Linked DNA regions of Schizosaccharomyces pombe. The protein of the gene in region 4 purifies or fractionates together with the protein of the main gene of each other region. This does not show direct contact. Each region holds a gene or a part of one and is shown on either strand. Other genes may lie near its edges. The genes, in order: lea1, gih35, prp17 and brr2.

What was found.
Region 1: the proteins of brr2 (region 4) and lea1 purify together in Schizosaccharomyces pombe (affinity purification with mass spectrometry; 2 studies listed by BioGRID, with this or other methods). This does not show direct contact.
Region 2: the proteins of brr2 (region 4) and gih35 purify together in Schizosaccharomyces pombe (affinity purification with mass spectrometry; 2 studies listed by BioGRID). This does not show direct contact.
Region 3: the proteins of brr2 (region 4) and prp17 purify together in Schizosaccharomyces pombe (affinity purification with mass spectrometry; 2 studies listed by BioGRID). This does not show direct contact.

Annotation. Positions count from the first base shown.
Region 1 is NC_003423.3:4,144,785-4,148,017, forward strand, and holds lea1 (U2 snRNP-associated protein Lea1), read right to left. Parts: upstream 1,487-3,233; 5' UTR 1,280-1,486; coding exon 1,199-1,279; intron 1,138-1,198; coding exon 505-1,137; 3' UTR 501-504; downstream 1-500. Other genes in the region: elc1 (elongin C), read left to right, coding at 1-5, 46-94, 138-271, 310-314; serine/threonine protein kinase Ppk22, read left to right, coding at 2,872-3,233.
Region 2 is NC_003424.3:2,124,226-2,128,907, reverse strand, and holds gih35 (ATP-dependent RNA helicase), read right to left. Parts: upstream 2,852-4,682; 5' UTR 2,842-2,851; coding exon 2,751-2,841; intron 2,708-2,750; coding exon 2,630-2,707; intron 2,582-2,629; coding exon 2,517-2,581; intron 2,469-2,516; coding exon 2,212-2,468; intron 2,176-2,211; coding exon 1,404-2,175; exon of another isoform or gene 1,358-1,403; coding exon 1,256-1,357; exon of another isoform or gene 1,208-1,255; coding exon 1,039-1,207; exon of another isoform or gene 997-1,038; coding exon 676-996; exon of another isoform or gene 638-675; coding exon 549-637; downstream 1-548. Other genes in the region: ufd2 (ubiquitin-protein ligase E4), read right to left, coding at 1-385, 428-445; whi2 (phosphatase activator), read right to left, coding at 3,104-3,916; rad57 (DNA recombination mediator, RecA family ATPase Rad57/Rhp57), read right to left, coding at 4,459-4,682.
Region 3 is NC_003423.3:2,649,969-2,655,533, reverse strand, and holds the start of prp17 (Prp19 complex WD repeat protein Prp17), read right to left. Parts: upstream 3,941-5,565; 5' UTR 3,889-3,940; coding exon 3,778-3,888; exon of another isoform or gene 3,737-3,777; coding exon 2,972-3,736; exon of another isoform or gene 2,933-2,971; coding exon 2,317-2,932; exon of another isoform or gene 2,274-2,316; coding exon 2,226-2,273; exon of another isoform or gene 2,187-2,225; coding exon 2,050-2,186; 3' UTR 1,990-2,049; coding exon of another isoform or gene 1-1,989. Other genes in the region: 1-phosphatidylinositol-3-phosphate 5-kinase Fab1, read left to right, coding at 1-1,989; Mre11 complex BRCT domain subunit Nbs1, read left to right, coding at 4,620-4,656, 4,716-4,769, 4,808-4,896, 5,001-5,149, 5,189-5,268, 5,311-5,565.
Region 4 is NC_003424.3:1,459,272-1,467,199, reverse strand, and holds the start of brr2 (U5 snRNP complex subunit Brr2), read left to right. Parts: upstream 1-1,920; 5' UTR 1,921-1,940; coding exon 1,941-7,928. Other genes in the region: Tf2-1 (retrotransposable element/transposon Tf2-type), read right to left, coding at 1-1,353. UniProt on the Schizosaccharomyces pombe protein: Involved in pre-mRNA splicing. May be involved in endoplasmic reticulum-associated protein degradation (ERAD) and required for growth at low and high temperatures. Required for pre-spliceosome formation, which is the first step of pre-mRNA splicing.

The DNA.
Region 1 (3,233 bases), on a different chromosome or scaffold from region 4:
CGAAGGTTTGATAATGATATTTAGTAAAGTAATTCTAATGTATAGGAATATTTTCTGAGGCGCAAAAAAATGAATGCACATTTCCTGATATACGGTATGCAATTGGTCTATTCATTCAATTCTAATAAGGTGTCTAGGGCAACACTGTTGGAAAAAGTTTGTGAATATTTGCATTACAATTACAGATATAAAAATCAATTAGATATTCCAAAGTTCGATATCCCACCTGAGATGGTTTTAGAATTATTGGTCACTGCGGAATATTTGGAAGGTAAGATTATCATTACTATTTAAAGCTAATGAATACAGCATAATTCTGATTACTCACGAGGAACGAAAGGATTGCTAAATTGCTACAGCATTAAAGAATTGACGGTTTTTGTTTACGATTAACGATTTGATGCCTTAAATAACTATTAAACGCGTTACCTATCGAATGCAAGAAATGAGATGGAAAAAATGTATTATATAACTATGCGGTTTCTAGAAATCTTGTGAGTTACTTTATTTTGGAATTTTCCCCTCTAATAGCATAGCTTCCAGTCGATTTATCTCAGCAATGGAAGAGGCATTTTTAATGGCTTCTTTGATCTTTTCTCTTTCCTCAGGTGTAAGTGTATATCCAGTTGTAATAGGAGAATTCGCTTCTGGGTGGCTTTGTACCAATGCAGCCAAATCAAATACTCGACTTTTCACACCCATAATAGAGGAAGCTATTTCTGTAGGGTTTTGAATTTGACCAAACACTTCTTCAGCACGAAGCCTTTCATTTCTTCTAACCCGTTCGAAATCTAAAATATGTAACGAAGGAATTCTCCATATAAGATATAATCTATAATATTGTTTTTGAGCAACTGGATTGTCAATGCACGACAAATTAGTGAGTTGAGGACAACTAGCCAACGGATCTAAATCTGCTATTTCTTGAAGATGATTTTGTGCTAGGGATAAAGTCTTTAAATTCGGAAGAACTTTACCTATGTCTGGGGCTATAGCAGTTATTCGGTTATTTCCACACAAAAGCGTTTGAAGCCTTTTCATACGAGGGAAATTCCCTAAATATCGAATGTCATTGTCTGTGAAATCAATTGCATCGTGTACGTCCCTTAACACTCCTAAATTTTCAATTATTGGAATCTGATACCCTGTAATTATGAGTTAGCTGGATGACACGTAGCATACAGTAATTTCTTTAAACATATCTTAAATCAAGCTCAGTTTCTTTCAAAGGACTGATGAATGAGGGTACCTGAGACAAAAATTCAGCATTAAGACGCATGAAATTTTTGTAATGAAAATGCCTTTTTTATGCTGTTACTGCAGTATGATTTAAAATTCCTAAAAAATTATCCAAAACGCTCACAATCCTAAATTTCACTATTGTTTATTCAAAAAATGTTATAGTTAACGTTTTAGAATCTAATAATGTAAAGTTAATTATGTAAAAACCAAGAATATGACACGTCAAGAGAAGAAGCAAAGTGGTAGAGTTTGGATAGTAAGCACATAAATAAATACAAAGAAATCTTGACTCAATAAGCAAAAAATACTCACTTTTTCTACTTTTTAGATTTAAAAAAAACAAATTATGCGTAATTATACTTTGATAATTGACTGACGACTTCCATGTTCAAGAATCGGCTTTCGTACTAGAAAATTCTTGGGAAAACAGAGAATAAATGATTTTTGTATATGTGTGTTTTGACACCTTTAAATAAAACATTTTTTCATTGTTGTCAAATATATATCTTAAGTTTGTCAGAAATTGGTACACACTCTTTTATCTGTTGAGCTCTCAAAAACAAACACAAGCAATCGACTATTTGGATGAAACACACATTGTTTTCCACTCAAAGTTTTAGTTCAACTCATCTATAATGTTCATACTGCCTCCCTATTTGACTTCGTGAGCACAAACCGCCAACGAAAGTTTGAAACCAGGTTATTTACAATTATTCAGAGTTGCTTAAGGAACCTGTTTTCCTATTAAAAAATTGCATTGAGATACTTACTAAACTGCTATATCTTTTTGTTTTCTCATTTAATGAAAAACATTCCAAAAACAATATTGACATCAAGTCGTTTTTTAATGTAACAGTTTTAATGAATTCTTCAGATTGTTTCTATCGTATTGCTCTATCTCAATGAAAGCACTGCTAAGAAATTATATTTAAATTGATATGACAGCTTCTAATATCGAATCAACTATCCATCCTCATACTAATACCACATGAGTCGGACTAATTGAAAATGCCAGCGATATCGACAAATGTACATCGACATTTCGGATAATGTTTGGGTTTAGAGTAGCCTCTTTTGTAGTTGAAAGTGGAAGAAATACATGATTAAATGTTGTGCTTCCATAGCTCGTGTACTTATAAATCATACAGTCACTCTTGAGAATATGAAATTAAAAATCACTGCATTTATTCTAACACTTATTCTGTTCCAGTAAGAATTATTCAAACTGAATTTACTACAAAACTACAGATCAATACCCACACATAAAAACCAAAAACAAGTTTTTTCTTTTATTTACAATAGCTTCAACTAAGTATTTTGAAGCTGCTTGTTAGTTAATGCTACAATATGACTGTTTATTTCTATATGCTTAAAAAGAGGATTATATAACATAAGGATGGCCGTGGCTCCACTAACTATTCTTTTGCCGACACCTCCAAATGAAACAAGAATTAATATAAGCAGGAGGAATACCATTCGGCTAGTTATATTAGACTATTTGGGAGCTTTGAAGTCGTTTTTCAAGTTTGCTTACATTCTGATTTATATTAGGTATTATAAGTGAGCCGTCAGCGAAATTTATTAACCGGTGAATGTTTGAAGCGCTACGAGATTAATGGATGACTTAGAATGGCTCGAGAAACTGAATTTAATGACAAAAGTCCCTCTTCCACCGATGATGGTATGAGCCAGTCGCACTTTTCAGATAAACTGAAAAATTTGTTTCACTTTCGTAGGAATCGAGCGGCAACCGTTTCTACTAGTGTCCGAAATGATCAGAGGGATAATGATTCTGATGACTCAACCTTTGATATTAATGTTAATCAATTGAATGAATTAGATCTGAATGATAGTAGCGATCAATTGGATAGTCGTCCCAGCCTTAGACGCGTATCTTCCGCACCTGATTCTCACAAAGGAGTAGAAGCGCCTCCTCCTCGTCCTTTAATTAATATGAGCAATATTCGAAAGGCACAGGTCAAGATTTTAAA
Region 2 (4,682 bases), 660 kb from region 4:
TTGTTGACAGTCGAGAGAGTAACGCAGAGTCAACATTATTCTCATTAAATAATAAAGGGGATCCCTCTTCTTCTAAATCTTTTTTAAAACCTTCTAAATAGTATTTTGATGAATCAGTTTCACTTAATGTAATATTAAGAGCCTGACATGTTATAAAATGCATCCATTCATCCTTAGAAAACAAGCGATGTTTTGGAGCACCAGATGTAACAGGTGGAGATATTTCTTTTTGTTCTGAATTTGATGTTGTAGCCTTTGAACCAATAAATCTCTTTTTTAAATCAGGTTTTTTAGGTTCAGGTGCAATATTGCTTTCCTTAGGTTCTTTAGAAGAATTTGCCTCCGAATTGGTCTGCTGCAATTTAGCAAGCCTTTTAAGACGAATCTATGGGCCAATATTAGCAATTAGCTGAAATTTTTCTCTTACCTTTTCCAAATCACTCATAATGGGGTGGATTGAGCAAGTTGGTGGAAGTGAGGTCAACATATGTTTTAACTACCAAAACTTACTATGCTAAACCGGTAACATGAAATTGTATTAACATATATTATTTTTCTCGTTTATAGTATTTATCCAGCCAAAAACTTTCTATTTTAGAAATATTCTTCACGAATATTTGAGTTTCTGATTCGACAGCTAAAACGTTAAAATAGTCTTATAACAAATAGGCTTACCTGAAGAATACATGATCCATGGTGTTTTTTTTTCATGAAGTACACTACTAGAGTCTAACCAAACCTGCTTTCCTCCTATTGTTTTGTAAGAGCCGTCATTCTGTAAATGTGCGACGTTACGCACAAAACCATCAAGTAGGCATTTCAAAATTTTGGAACAATCACTGGATGGTAATCTTTGAGCAGTAGGTATAGAAAATTTATTTAAAAAACGAACCAAATGAGTGCGAATGTCAAGGGCTTGGCGCAAAGTTTGATAGTTCAAATAATTTTTCCTGCACCATTGTAAATCTTTTTTGTTACCGACAAAAGATTCAAAAACTAAATGTTAATACACTTTTAAACTTTATTAATGAAGCATACCATTTAATGCGGTAATGATGTCCCCTTCATTTGCAAAAAAAGAAGAATGGGCAACGAAGGCATCATTCTTTGATGAACTTGTGGGATTATAAAATACTTCGCCTGCTGTAAGTATTGAAGCAATTGAAAGAATTTCATGAGTGCAACCAAATTGGTTGGAAGTAAGTAACTAATGATGGGTTAGCGTGTACTTTATTTCCTATATGGGAGTACGTACAGCTTTGGAGATGTTTGCATCCAAGAATGAGTTGGAAATTTGTATGCCAAGTGGGTCTGTCAAATTTCCACTTTCGTCCAAGACACCTAAAAGATAGAGGTCCTTCAAAAAAATTAGTTGTTTGCCGGCTATAATAAAATTCACAAACCTCTAGAGCCGCCATAAGGTGAACTGTGGGAGGACGGACAAAAAAGGGAAACTGAAGTATGTTTTTTAGCCCTAAACCTTTCAAAAATAACACCAACGGTGACATATCGCAATTTAAGATGTCTGCTTCAAATTCTTCTTTCATCAAGCTGTAAGCTTTTTCAGTATATAGACGGAACACCTTTCCCCTCATTGTCCTTCCAGCTCTTCCACTTCTCTGTATAGCACTTGACTTAGATATAGGCACGTTAATCAATTTTGAAGTCCTTGTATACGGGTTGTATATCCGTTGTTTATTAAAACCTGAATCAACGACATAAACTATGCCATCAATAGTAATACTAGTCTCAGCAATATTCGTAGAAAATATAACTTTTCTGAAGTCACCATCATATATGTTAAAAACTCGCATTTGCTCGTCAACAGTAAGACCAGCATGTAAAGGTAAAGGAACTAAAGTTTGACAGTCTTCGGAAGCATGAATTAAGGAATCTTCAATCTTTTTTATACAGTATTCTATTTCTTTTCTTCCCGAAAGAAAAACCAATATATCACCAGGCGGATAGGTTGAATTAATGTTTATAACCGTTTCGATTGCAGAATCAACGTAATTTTCTGTAGGTTTCTGCAAAAATAATGTTTCTACGGGGAATAATTTCCCTTCAATTGACATAGTGCATACTTTATCTTGTCCGAAAAACTGAGACAGTTTATTCGCGTCAACAGAAGCGCTGGAGAGCACAAGTCTAAAATCATTCCTCTTTTCTAAAATCCTTGATTTGTCAGCTATGAATAGAAAATTTAAATACCTTTTCAAAACTCCTAGTAGGAGATCTGTCGACAAAGTTCGTTCATGGACTTCGTCGAGAATGACTATTGAATATCTTTCCAGCAAAGGATCAAAAAATATTTCATTCAAAAGGATTCCATCGGTCATATATTTTATTTTTGTTTTTTCAGAAACGTTATGATCAAATTGAATGCTATATCCACACAAACTTCCAGGAGGAGAGTTCAGTTCCAAAGATACTCGTTCAGAGACGCTCTTTGCTACGAGTCTTCTGGGCTTTCAAATAAGTTAGGAGGATGATAAATAAACAAAGTTGTGACTAACCTGTGTACATCCTATAATACCGTTTTGGGACGCCCATCCAGCTTCGTATAAAAATTGAGGGATTTCTTCAAGATTATTTTTAGTTTAATAAACCATCTAATCAAAATACTTACGAGTTGTTTTACCACATCCTGTGTGGCCTAACACTATAGTAATCTGATTTTGCTCTACTGCATATAACAACTGGTTTCCTAAATGTAACGTCAGCAATGTAAGGGTAAAACAGCTACATACTGTATTTGGTGATTGGTAATAGCTTTTTCTGAATATTTAAGGGTGTATTTGTAAGAGTACTAAGCGATTGGGAAATAAACTCATTAGGCATACTCTTGCGTAGAGAGCATCAAGTAAGTGGAAGCACTTTCATGTTACCACAACTAGATTGAACGTATTGTAATATTTATAAAAAACAGTATTAACAAAATTCAAATAAAAAATTATTATTCAAAATAAATATACTACAATAATTATCACGCAATTTGAGTAAAATCTGGGAAACCTCGTAACATTGGTATCTGTTAAAAGAATGGCTGCATGCACGGCCTAACTTAGCAAAATGTTTTTTAATCTTATTTTTACTAAAACACTTAGTCTTGAGAATTTTCACGATTTCCCATAATCGTAACTTCCAACAACCACTGCTTTCTCCTCCAAACATTGATTAAAGATCCGTTTACTTTTATAACTTCGTTTATCCACCAGCACTTATTACCTGGCTGTCCCCATAGCTTCAAAATTTTACTCAAAAATTCTTCGCTTAATGAGGAGCTCTCGACTGTTGTTATGATATACGACATTAAGCTCATTAATTTTGGCTCCTTTACTCTCTTGGCCCATTTATCGTTGTAGCGAAATCCACAATGCTGTAATGCATCAACTAGCGGTCCATCACTCAGCCCTTTTCGGATTTTTTTTTTGTCTGCACTTTCAAAAACGTCGTTGTTCTTGAAAGTTTGCTCTAATAAGTCGCTCCTGATTTTTTGGTCGACGGGCTTTTTATTTTCAGAAAATAAATAGATATTGCAACATTCTGTTAAGAATAAAACGAGGGTAGTATTCGATATAGGATTAAATGCAATTTTTGAGGGATAAGCATTATTACTTTTTTTAAATAATGGTAGATAGGTGTCCAAAATCCATTTACAAATGGAAGGGTCGATTTTGTGGCATTTGAAACATGATGAGACATCACCTCCCTCATGTTTTAAAAGCAGATGAAACCCATTAGGAAATAGAAGTGCCAACACGGTAGTTGGTAATATTGGAAGTTCAACGCGATCAATGACTATTAGTTTGCCCCGGATGTTGAAATGTATTTTTTCTGGAAAAAACTTTAAATTACTTTCCAGTGTATTGGCTAAAGTGTCAACCGTATTGATTCGATCAATTGGAACTGACATTTTTGTGTTCTATTTTTGTAACGATTATGTTATAAAAGAATGTTCATTTTTTATTTACAAGATATCACCAATGCATACTTGGCTTTTGGTAAAAATGTTAGGTGCAAATTTCTAAAGGATCGCCAATAGCGGAAGCTATCGGAAAGGTCTTACAAAATCTTTTACGCGCAATAGTAAAAACAGGTAGAAAAAGCCATTCGTCGGTTAAGAGAGCTCTTTGGGCATTCTTTGTTACGTGTAAAACTTTTTATTGTATTTTTTTCCATTTCAATACCCAACTGGTATATCCAAAATTCAGTCCACTAAAGTATGTCGGATTCTAATAAAAATGCACTACCATCATAGATCAACAAAATATATATTTAATAGTGACAGAGGTAATATAAATATAAAGATAAATAAGTACACTTATATATGTAACAGTTACTCAAAGCATTACTTTTCTTTCTGCGAATGATTGATAAGCGACAGTCGATTAAACAAAGTTAGGGCAATTCATAAACCGGTTTTATTATATTATATATAAAATTTTTACAAAAATGCTAGCACGAATATATCCCAACCGATCCTATGCATATTCGTACGTCAAGCCTTGGAGAATTTGGTGAATAAACAACCCGAAAGATTCTCCCCGAATTATTGGTGGCAGAGTCGGTTTTCTTAATTAATGCTAATCTCGTACTGATGTTATTAGTCCAAACGAGACCAAGAGATGGTATTTTGGGATTTGGATCTGTGTCATCCCATCCCGAAAACCATTGCGATT
Region 3 (5,565 bases), on a different chromosome or scaffold from region 4:
CAAACTAATGTTGCTTCAAACAAGCGTGTTGCTCCGTATGCAGATAGTATGGCAAATGTTGGTTCTCCAGAATCTGATTGCTTTTCAGTAGCAACATCTTCCGATATTCCTAAAGCCAACATCGATTTTACCAATGATATTTCTACTCAGAACACTTTTCCAGCTTCTCCGGTCTCAAATTCAGGTTTCAGTAGACAAACGTATCCAAATATAAGCCAAAGACAAGGCGTTAATATGCTTTCTCATAAGCGGAAAAGTGCTAGTACCAGTGACAGGCGATTTGTCAATGCATCTTCAACAAGTGGGATGAACATGCCTATTTCTTCTTCAATATCTGCAAAAATTTCCAGTATACAGAATTCTACAAAATACTCACCCAGGAAGCCCATTCCAGCAAAAGATGTGCGGGTTAGCTCTTTAGTGCGTAGATTTGAAGAGCTAAGTTTACAATTACAAGAAAAGCAAAAACGAGATGAAGAATTAATAAAGGCTCGACGCAAGCGGGCTCTTCCTGTAGTCCCATCTAAGCCGGTAGTAGAAGTATTTAATGACCTTAATGAAGCATTTGATGATGAAAATTCCGAAGATGAGAATGGCATTAATGACACAAAAGAAAATCGCGCTACCGAAAGCAATTTTTCTGGAGTTGATTCTATGAGCAAGGAGCGAGAAAATGTTTCTTCGAATGAAGACAATTCACCTGAAGCGTTTGAAGATATTTTTGGAATTCTTTTCAAAAATGAATCTGGCCTCGAAGAACAGCAAAACCTTGAACCTTCTAGTCAAATGGATAAAGAGGGATCAAAGTTGCCAACTTCTGGTCCTTTGGCTGACAAAACTTCAGTTTACAGGATTTTATCTGCATTTTGGAATGAATGGAACTCCCTCAATCCTCCACCTTTTGAATTTCCTCTACAACCTACAGAGCATATGTTTTCCGACTCAAATGTGATCATAAGGGAAGACGAACCTAGCTCCTTGATAAGTTTTACTCTTAGCTCTCCTGACTATTTATCAAAAATGGTAGAAATTGAAGATAGCATGGACGAAGCTTTAACCAATCAAGGCTTACAAGGCTCGACGCAATTCAAAATTGAAAACTTAATGCTCAAACCAACGGGGACGCATTTGAAATACCAGTTTGAAGAAGGATCAGCAAGACTATCCTGTAAGGTCTTTTTCGCGGAACAATTTAGTGCTTTGCGAAGAGCTTGTGGCTGTGAGGAGACGTTTGTGACATCTCTAGCGAGATGTTCTCTTTGGGAATCTAGCGGTGGAAAATCTGGATCAGCATTTTTAAAAACTTTCGATAAGAAATACATTCTCAAAGTTCTGTCAAGGTTGGAAAGTGACTCCTTGCTTAATTTTGCTCCAGCTTATTTTGATTACATATCTAAAGTTTTCTTTCACGAGTTGCCAACTGCATTGACTAAAATCTTTGGATTTTACCGCGTAGACATTCGAAATCCTACTACTGGTACAATCTGTAAGACTGATATAATGATTATGGAAAATGTATTTTATGATGAATGTCCGTCTAGAATATTTGATCTTAAAGGTTCCATGAGGAATCGACATGTAGAATCTACAGGGAAGGTAGATGAAGTATTGCTTGATGAAAATTTGGTTGAACTTATTTACGAATCTCCAATATTTGTTAGTGAACAACTAAAAAGTCTTTTGCATTCTTGCCTTTGGAATGATACATTGTTCCTCTCAAAACTCAATATCATGGATTACTCTTTAATTGTTGGTATTGATTATACAAAAAAAGAACTTTATGTTGGAATAATTGATTTCATACGAACATACACTTGGGACAAAAAACTTGAAAGTTGGGTAAAGGAGAAAGGCTTAGTTGGTAGAGGTCCTGAACCAACAATTGTTACTCCAAAGCAATACAAAAATAGATTCCGAAAGGCTATGGATTGCTATATTTTAGCATCTCAGGATTTTGAGACTGGGGAAGGTTTTAAGTTTTGCGAATAGAAGAAACGTTAGTTTAATGTATATATTTCGCTGTTTGGTCAAGAAATATGAACAATCTTTTTAATCCCAGTATTTGATAGACCCATCAACTATAGATGATGTAGCTACCTTGCTTGTTTCTTGAGGGTGGAACGCCATGCTTTGTACGGGTCCACTATGAGCCGGGAGTTTAGCCATTAGCTTACAGGTTTTCCAATCTAAAAATGTTAGGTGTTTTTCCAATTCCAAGCACTTACCCCAGAAACAGGCATTTCCGCTCGAATCTCCGCTAAAAACAAATCTCCCTAAAACTAGTTAGAAATTCGTAATAAAAAATGAACGCCATACCATCAGGTGAAAATCCAACTTCTAGGCTATAACCTGAACAACTGTATCCCTTAAAGACCTTCTTTTTGTTTTGTCTATATTTCTCGTATGCCGAATATACGTAAATGCAGTTATCTAGAGATTGACATGCTATCGACTTTCCATTTGGCCGTAAGGCAACCCGAGGCATTGAATGCATTGCAATGTCAGCCACAAATTTTATAGGAACTGGAGTTCCGTATTCCCAAAATCGCATTGAAGAGTCATCAGATGTGGTAACGAAGCGCTTTCCGTTTTCAAGGAATGTTATGGAATTGATTCCGCCGAGATGATGATCGTATGCTTGAACAATATCAGGACTTCTGATATCAAATTGAAGGATCCTTTTGTCAGCTGTTCCTGCTAAAAACTCGTTGGGTTTATCAGGATCTACTTGGAATTTGACGCAGTTTGTTAATCTATCTGAATTAAAGCAGTTCAAACATTTCCCTAATTCGGTATCCCAGAGTTTAATTGTTTTATCAAAACTAGTACTTAAGAATGATCGTCCATCTTGGCTAAATGATAAATCGCGGATAGGACGAGCGTGTCCTTGGAATGTACGAAGCAAAGAACGGTCATGGTAAACTTCCCAAATCTAAATATTAGTTTATCATCTTTTTGCTTACAAACATACCTTTATCTGATTATCCATTGAGCCAGAAAGAAGTAAATGGCCACTAATCGGAAAAAACCTAAGGCAGGAAATACCTTTCGTATGACCTTTCCAAGTGAATATATGCTTCTTTGGAATGTAACAAGTTTGTTCACCAGGCTCTTCCGATAAATTTATTCCGACGTCATTCGGGACATGCATATAGCTTCTATTTTGATAATCAAATAATCTATCTTTATGAAGTATAGTCTCTTCTTTAGAGCGATGAGTTTCAACTTCTGGAGTAGCTAATTGTTCCTTCAATAATTCATTTTGACCCAGGTTATTAGATTCCGTATCCTTTTCACTTTTGACATCCAGGGATTCAACCTCTTCATATTCACTGTACTCCAAAGGTGAAGAGGATTGTTCAGAACCGTATCCGGCCCATGGCCCCTTATAAGCACCATCCCCTTCAAGGATAGATGGATCGCCAGGATCCTCTCTACGTTCTTTTATTTTCTGGGACTTCCTTTTTAAATCTGTAGAAGTAGTAGCTTCGTTATCATCAAAATTTCGTTTTCCATAAATAGCATGTGTATTAGCATAATATTCTTGATTAAATACAAAATTTGGAACATATTCCCTCTCAGCATAACCGGTAATACTGTTCTTTATAGAATCCTGTTCTTTAGTGACAAATGGATTTGCAGGCCCTAAAGCAGGCTGCACCATTTCATTAACCGGGACATTACGCGCTAATTCTCTAGAGTTTCCTCCCTTTGAAACAATTAAATCATCCTTTACCTAAAATGATTAGCATGTTATAAAAAACATTTGATAAATACGTTATCAACCACAGCTGGCGCTAAATTTTCAGTATGCAGAAGAGGTTGGATGTTAGGCGATTGGGAATTCTCCTGTTCTTCTGAATCACTAGAATAGTTTGCAACCAACATAGAAATTGCAAACGGCGAATATGAAACCAGCAAATTCGTATGGTAATGGTTTAAGGAAGATTAAGCTGTAGGGAGGTTTAGCGAGGATGAGAGATTCCTGGCTAATATCAATTAGCGAAAATGAAACACTACAGCTAACTCATACTTCTGCTTATTAGGATAGGTAATAGATAATTCATTGATTAAAAAATAAAGGAATGTAGTAAAAACTAGAAATAAAGTTAGTTATTTAAAGAGGCATGGACTTTTTTAAACTGTAAAAGAAGTTATCCAGTAGTGCATATACACGACGTATGATAAATAGTATTTAATTGAAGTTTGTTTGCTCACATAAGCTCATGACTTTAAAAATTTCATTTTGGTACGATAGTTTACCCCTTTAGTAAATTCATTTTCTAGTGTACTCACAGTATTTTTTGTGTTTGCAAGGCTAGGACAGAGAACCTGTGTAAGTCTAATTTTTTGAAATTATAAATTTTTTAAGAGTTTTTGTTGATTAAACTTTTTCTTGAAGAAAGCTTTGAAAAGCAAGCTTTGTCAATTCAAATTCAAGAATTGGTTTAGTAGATTTAGCTTCTAATTTAACGAAGGGCTTTTGGACATCATAAAGGGTTACTTTGTTACTTTCAATTGTACTAAAATTAAAAGCGACGCACCTATGCATCCTCAGTTGTGAAAACAGCATTCTGGTTTCTGAATTTTTTCAATAAAAAGAATTTTATGTTGAAAAAATGTGGATAATTGAGGCTGAGGGTGACATTCTAAAAGGTATCTCTTACTAGCTATATCAATTTCATTATGGCCGTATTGTACGTACTAAACAGCAGGAAAATCACGGATACTATTTCCAGGAACTTATATTGTAGGTCGAAATGTATCTGGTAAGTTTCTTATTTTTGTTAATTTTCTAATATTGCAGACGATTCGTCCCACATTCAAGTGATTTCTAAATCAATTAGTAAACGCCATGCTCGTTTTACGATTTTGACCCCAAGTGAGAAAGACTACGTACGTATCCAATTAAATGGAAATATTGAGCTTTTCATTTTTCATTTCTATTATATGTTTATCTTTCTTATATTTTAAATCAATGCCAGCTAATATGTGCACAGTTTACCGGTGGCCCATGCGAGTTTGAAGTAAAGGACCTCGATACGAAGTTTGGAACCAAGGTTAATGAAAAAGTTGTTGGTCAAAATGGTGATTCTTACAAAGAAAAAGATCTTAAAATACAACTGGGTAAATGTCCATTCACGATAAAGTAAGTTTTATCGACTATATATGATTTACTAACTTTAAGTGCATACTGGAGAAGTATGTGTATACAATTCGATAACCCTGAAATGTTATCCCAGTGGGCTTCAAATTTAAACCTCTTAGGTACTTCGGTCTTTTTTTTTTTCACTTCTTATCAACTTTCAGGTATACCGACTGGACTACGCGATAGCGATGCTACTACCCACTTTGTTATGAACAGACAAGCTGGGTCCAGTATAACTGTTGGAACTATGTATGCTTTTCTTAAAAAAACTGTAATTATAGATGATAGCTATCTTCAGTACCTATCAACTGTTAAAGAATCCGTAATTGAAGACGCCAGCCTAATGCCAGATGCGCTTGAATGTTTTAAAAATATCATAAAGAACAACGATCAATTCCCGTCATCTCCTGAAGACT
Region 4 (7,928 bases):
TGGACAGGCGTTAATGGCTTTAGATTCTCGTATAATTCCACTTTTTAATCCTTGATTAATTTCATCATTCATAGCTTGCATTTTTCCCGGTGGTAGCGGGTAATTTCTGATAGGTAATCTGTAGTTTTCTTGAGTTAGTTCAACTTCAAATTCTAACCCTTTTATTGGCTTTGGTAGCTTTTCCGTATTGGTTTCTGCAGTAATGTCTTTGAATTCTTTATAGATATCTGGTAACTCAGGTTCCTTGACAATATTTGAAACTTTGTTCATTTGAGAGAGCGTGTGTTTACTGCTAGATATTTCAATGTTATTGTCATATAATGTTGTGAAGGAGATAGCAGCTGGATGCGAAAATTTCTTTACAACCAAGAATTCTGTTTTGATTGATATTCCATTTAGACTTATGTTAAGTTTTATTGTTTTGCGATTAATCTTATTTGGATAAACTCCACCATATATCACACTTTTTGACCAGGGTCTGGTAGGCAGTTTATGTGCTCGAACAGTTTCTTCTGTTATAATATTTGCTTGAGCGCCCGTATCGATTAGACAGGGTATTGAGCACTTGAAGTCTGGAAGTTCAGCTTGTAATACCATTTCGTAACGTTTCCTAGTATGATTTAGGAATTTGTTAGATGAGTATTCTATTCTCGAAACATTTGTCTTCCTCAGGTTTCTGCTATTAGTGGTGTTATTTTTCTTTGAAAGGGACTCTTTTCCTAGATTTTTATTTTGCAGTTGAAAACGCTTGTGAGTTTTACCATACGAGGCTGTTCTTTTGTCCTCTAAAAAGTCATAAATTTCACTGATTTCTGATTTCCAGTAATTTCTTTCCTTTAATTTCCTTAAGGAATATGGCAGCATCCATAATATAAACAAGCGAGTATGGAAATCATCAACATTTGCTTTTGACATGAGTTTCCTTATAAATTGAACTTTGTCCAATTGATTTCTAAAACCTTCAAATGTTTTAGTTAAACGATCACCTTTGTTGGATCCTTGTACTTTCCCTGTTTGTCTGAGTAATTCTTGCCATGTAAGACTTCCATTCTCAGAAAACATGCGTTCAGCGAATTGTTGCTCTAATTCTTCTAGGTGATTCAATGTATACTGTCTTTTAGTATGCTCATTTGGGAATAATGAAGGGTATTCAGTAAAGTGTTGATCAAGTTTTGAAATGTAACTTTCAACATCCTTATTAGGATCGAATTTCCCTATCTCTGGTACATGCTTCGATAATATTTTTGCAAAAAGGTTTATTAAATGTTCGTCTGATGTTTGAATTCCATCCAAATTCTCTGGTCTCCATCGTTTTGCTCTTGCTTTCATATAACGATAATTTGCGTAGGACATTGTATATGTTTCCCTTTGGGAGATTTCAAAAGGGATAACAGTCCTTCCAAAGTTCTTTCTCCTTTGAACCCAGAAGGAGAGAAATATATATATTTATGATATATATTTATTCAATAATTCCTTTTTCCTAAAAGGAGTTAATTGTAGATCACAAGAGTTCAGTTATTGTAAGCTACGCAGTTTGGTATCTGATTTAAGGATACGTAGAACTGCGGTGAGCTTTCCTTGTGATCTATTATATTACAATACACAGGTTGTATAAGTAGCAACTGAGTATAGGTATTGTATTAACTGGGTTATAATGTTACCTATCACTAATATAGCTCATAACTGAACTGAGGAACGAGGTTCAGCAGTAGCTCTATTTATAGTATTCAGATAATATTGATCTTAATAGATTATCATTAAGATCAATCTCCATATCGTATCATACATGGTACGATATATAATTAGAACATGTGACATATAGTGATACTCAACGTAGTGTATTATAGCGTAGTGTAGTATTGCTGACAGAAATGAACACTTCTAATACCTCGAAGTAGACGAAAATTGAAAATTCAGTTTATCCTCCGCCACTCACAATCATGTCGAGTGCACATCCTAAAGGGGACTCGAAAGAGCCTCCCAAACATGGAAATAGTAAGGAGAAGCCAAACTATGGTCAATCACAGTATAGTTATTCTGCAATGTCAAATTTGGTTACGCAGGCTGATCGAAGATTTGTGTCACGACGTGATGCTGAACCTACAGGCGAACCGGAATCTCTGGTAAATCGAGTTAGTATTGCAGATATGGGTTCTAGAGCGAGAATTGAAAAACCTAGTACCCTTCCTCTCGAATTGACGCAGGAAGTTCAGGAGGTCCGGTTACCTCGTAAAGATGCAGAATCCTTAGAAATTGGTATACGGCAACCTGAACGCGAAAAGCGCTCTTCAGCGATACTTAAATATTTTGATTCTTTTGAAATTTTGAAATATAATCCTCTAACCGACGAGACCCGAGAAGTTTATGATTATATCTTGAGTTTCATTCAACAATACCTTGGCGATCAGTCTCCTGAAATCCTCCGTTCTGCTGCTGATTTGATTATTGAACTTCTTAAGGATAGTTCTTTAGATGAACAAGGTCGTAAAAAGCAAATAGAGGAGGTTTTGAGTACTGAACTCCCACAGGATCGGTTTTCACAGCTCGTTAACTTGGGAAATCGCTTAACAGATTATACAGTTGAGCAAGAAGAAGAGTTAAATGAAGAAGGCGTTAATGAATCTGGCGTACCAGTATTGTTCAATGAAGCCGATGAAGAGGAAGAAGCTGTTGAGGCAATGGAAGAGGATGAAGTGGCAGAAGATGAAGACGTCGTCTTAGAAACTTCCATATCTCAAGAAGAAGAGAAAAAGAATATTGAAAATCCGGATACAGAGGTTACATTTATTTCTGCTGATACCAAAAAAGTTACCGAAATACCCACTGTTCATCCTCGTGAAATCGATGCATTTTGGCTGCAACGAGAAATAGCAAAATATTTTGCTGACGCCGTCGTTTGTCAGGAAAAAACAAATCAAGCGTTTGAGGCACTTTCGGCTGATTACGATCTCGGTGAATTGGAAAATGAATTGATGAGTATTTTTGATTATGAACATTTCTATCTTGTTCAACTTTTGACTAAGAATCGTTGGACAATAGTTTCGTGTACAATGTTAAAACGCGCCGCTACTGATGAAGAACGCTTAGGTGTGGAAGAGCAAATTCGTGCTGCTGGTCGGTCTTGGATTCTCGAAGCTCTACGCCCTGGTGCTATCACTATACCTGATGACGGTTTAAATGAATTAAATAATAATGTTGTTGAGAAAGCTGAACCTGCGCCCGTTTCTGAAATTCCACTTTCGAAAACTTTGACTTCCCATAAAATTGTACCTAAGCACCAAGTTGATCTAGAAAATTATGTGTTTACTGAGGGATCACGTCTCATGTCTAATAAAGCTGTCAAGCTACCTGAAGGCTCGTTTCGTAGGACTGGTAAAGGGTATGAAGAAATACATGTTCCTGCCCCCAACAAAGCCGTACTTGGCGCTGACGAGCGTCTTGTAAAAATCAAGGAACTGCCTGAATGGTCTCATCAAGCTTTTCTTAATACTCAATCTTTAAACCGAATCCAAAGCCATCTTTATCCTATCGCTTTTGGTACTGACGAAAACATCCTTTTATGCGCTCCTACTGGTGCTGGAAAAACAAATGTAGCAATGCTATGTATCCTTAACGAATTACAAAAACATTTACGTGAAGATCTTAGCTTTAACTTACAAAATTTTAAAATTGTTTACATTGCTCCCTTGAAGGCGTTGGTACAAGAGATGGTTAATAATTTCTCAAAGAGGCTTACTCCATACAATATTCGAGTCGCAGAGTTAACTGGTGATAGTCAATTGACTAAACAACAAATTAGTGAAACTCAAATAATTGTAACCACACCCGAGAAGTGGGATATTATAACTCGAAAAGCTAATGATTTATCTTATGTCAATCTAGTCCGTTTAGTTATTATTGATGAGGTTCATTTGCTTCATGATGAACGAGGTCCTGTATTAGAATCTATAGTTGCTCGTATATTTCGCCATCAGGAGGAAACTCTTGAACAAGTTCGATTAGTAGGTTTGTCTGCTACACTTCCTAATTATACCGATGTTGCCAGTTTTTTACATGTCGACCCTAAAAAAGGGCTTTTTTACTTCGATTCGACATATCGTCCATGCCCTTTAAAGCAAGAATTTATAGGCATTACAGAAAAAACACCGTTTAAACGAATGCAGACGACTAATGAAGCTTGTTATGAAAAAGTTATGCAACACGCTGGCAAAAACCAGGTCCTCATATTTGTACATTCGCGCAAAGAAACCGCTAAAACCGCTCGTTTTATAAGAGATAAGGCACTAGAGGAAGAGACCATCGGTCATTTGTTACGCTCTGATGCCGCATCCCGTGAAATTCTTCGGGCTGAAGCCGACTCTACCAGTGATGAAAATTTGAAAGATTTGCTCCCATATGGGTTTGCCATACATCATGCTGGTATGCGACGAGAGGATCGCCAAACGTCTGAAGACCTTTTTGCCGATGGTACTATACAGGTACTAGTGAGTACGGCAACTCTGGCTTGGGGCGTAAACTTACCAGCGCACACAGTGATCATCAAAGGGACCCAAGTTTATTCTCCTGAAAAGGGTATCTGGACAGAACTCTCTCCTCAGGATGTTTTGCAAATGCTTGGCAGAGCTGGTCGCCCACAATTCGACACATATGGTGAAGGAATTATCATTACCGCCCACTCTGAGTTACAGTATTATCTATCACTAATGAATCAGCAGCTTCCAATTGAGTCTCAATTTATGCGCCGTCTAGCTGATTGTTTAAATGCCGAAGTATCGTTAGGAACTGTTCGTAGTATCGAAGATGGCGTAGACTGGCTTGGTTATACATACCTCTATGTTCGAATGTTACGATCCCCTGCCCTATATAGCGTCGGCCCAGAGTATGATGATGACAAATATCTTGTTCAAAAAAGAGCTGACTTACTTCATTCAGCTGCCATTTTATTAGAAAAATGCAAGTTACTAGTGTATAATCGTCAGAGTGGTACGTTGACCGCTACGGAATTGGGAAAAGTTGCTGCAAGTTATTACGTTACTCATAACTCGATGGCCATATATAATCGTCTTTTAATGCAGACAACATCCTTTATCGAGTTATTTCGAGTCTTCAGTTTTTCTGATGAATTTAAGCACATTCCTGTCCGTGAAGAAGAGAAAGTTGAACTCGCGAAGTTGCTGGAAAGAGTACCAATTCCTATTAGGGAAAGATTAGATGAACCTGCTGCCAAGATTAATGCCCTTCTCCAATCATATATATCAAGACAACGCCTGGATGGATTTGCACTTGTGGCAGACATGGTATACGTTACGCAATCAGCGGGTAGAATTATGCGTGCAATATTCGAGATATCATTGAGACGTGGTTGGTCATCTGTTGCAACACTCTCTCTTGATACATGCAAAATGATTGAGAAAAGGCTTTGGCCAACTATGAGCCCCCTTCGACAGTTTCCCAATTGTCCTTCTGAAGTAATACGCCGCGTTGAGAAAAAGGAATTTCCTTGGCAGCGATACTTTGATCTGGACCCTGCTGAATTAGGAGAATTAGTAGGGGTGCCAAAAGAAGGGAGGCGTGTGTACAACATGGTTCAGTCTTTTCCAAGGTTGAGCGTCGAAGCACATGTTCAACCTATCACAAGATCGCTTGTGCGGGTCGAACTTGTTATAAATTCTCAGTTCAACTGGGATGATCATTTAAGCGGCACTTCTGAAGCTTTTTGGATCCTTGTAGAAGACGTGGACGGGGACCGATTGCTACATTATGAACAATTTTTCCTTCTTAAAAAATACAAAGATGATGAGCATATTGTAAATTTTACAGTACCTTTGTTAGAACCTCTTCCTCCTTGTTACTTTATAAAGATAGTTTCAGATCGATGGTTACACTCGATAACTAAGGTACCTCTTTCATTTCAGCGCCTGATAATGCCAGAAAAATTTCCTGCGCCAACACCTCTTCTTGATCTTCAGAACGCCCCGGTCTCTAGTCTTAATAACCCAAGCTTCATTTCCCTCTACCCTAATTTTAAATTTTTTAACAAGATTCAAACACAGGTGTTTAACTCTGTTTATAAAACCAACGATAGTGTTTTTATTGGTGCTCCCAATGGAAGTGGAAAGACTGTTTGTGCCGAACTTGCTTTGTTACATCATTGGAGTCAAGAAGATTATGGTACTGCAGTTTACATTGCCCCAATTCAGGAAATCGTTGATCGTCGATATGAAGAATGGTATGGCAAGTTTTCTGACCTCGGTGATGGGAAAGTTTTGGTAAAATTGACGGGTGAGCGTTCACAAGACTTGAAGCTGATACAAGTTGCTGACTTGATATTTTGCACGCCATCGCAATGGGACTCATTGTCGAAGAGATGGAGAAGTATGCGAAGCATTCAGAAAGTTGATTTTTATATATGTGATGAATTACAATTGCTTGGTGGATTTTATGGTCCATTATACGAAATAGTGATCTCACGGATACGGTACATGGCAGTACAATTAGAAAAAAATATCCGAGTGGTTGGCCTTTCAGTATCTGTTGCTAATGCTCGAGATTTGGGTGAGTGGCTTGGGACTAGTCCACAATGCATATTTAATTTTAGTCCTAAAGACAGGCCTAATCCTCTTACTATTCATTTGCAATCATTCAGTATTACTCATTTCCCTTCCCTTATGTTGGCTATGAGCAAGCCTATATATCGCAGCTTGAAGAACTTTATTTCTCAGAGAAAGTCTACTATTGTATTTACTCCTGACAGGAAAGTAGCGAAACAATTAGCTTTTGATTTAGTTACATTCAGTATGGCTGATGAAGATGAGTATTTGTTTTCGTTAATGGAGAATGAAGCTTTCAATAAAGTTGAAGATGCTGCCTTGCAGCAATCATTGAAGCATGGTATTGCTTATATTAGTGAAATCACATCGTCCAATGATCAGAATATTGTACAATATCTTTACCGTCATGGACTTATCAAGGTTTTGATAGCTTCTCGCGATGTTATTTATTCCTTAAAAGCAAAATCAAACGCTGTTATTGTGATGGGTACTCAATACTATGATGGCAAAGAACATCGTTATATTGATTATCCTATAAGTGAGTTATTACAAATGCTCGGGTTTACTGCTAGCATTGGATCAAGTGAGCTTAGCCAGGTTATTCTTATGACTGTCACTACTAAGAAGGAATATTACAAGAAATTTTTAAATGAGCCATTACCCATGGAAAGCCATCTTCAAGTTTGGCTGCACGATGCTTTCGTGTCAGAAATATCTACGCAAACCATTGAAAGCAAACAAGATGCTGTAGATTGGCTTACATGGTCGTATATGTACCGGAGACTAGTTGCCAATCCTGCCTATTATGGTCTTCAAGATATCACTCATGAGTCGGTTTCTGAATTCCTTTCGGATCTTGTAGAAACAACCATGAATGATTTGAGTGAGGCACGCTTAATCACTGTAGACGATGAGGATGATAGTTGTGTCGCATTAAATTTAGCAATGATAGCTTCTCATTACGGAATTACATACATTACTATGCAAACGTTTGCTTTGAGCTTGTCAGAGCGCACGAAGATGAAGGGATTACTAGAAATTGTTACATCAGCAGCAGAATATGAGCAACTCCCAATTCGAAAGTATGAAGATATTGTGCTGGAGCGAATTCATTCCCGCCTGCCTGTTCGCTTAAGTAATCCTAACTATGAAGATCCTCATACGAAATCATTTATTCTTCTTGCAGCTCATTTTTCTAGATTTGAATTGCCTCCTGGTTTAGTTATAGATCAGAAATTCATTTTGACTAGGGTACATAATCTTCTGGGCGCTTGTGTTGATACATTGTCTTCCGAAGGCCATTTAATAGCTTGTATTAGACCAATGGAGATGTCGCAAATGGTTACGCAAGCTTTATGGGATCGTGATAGTCCTTTA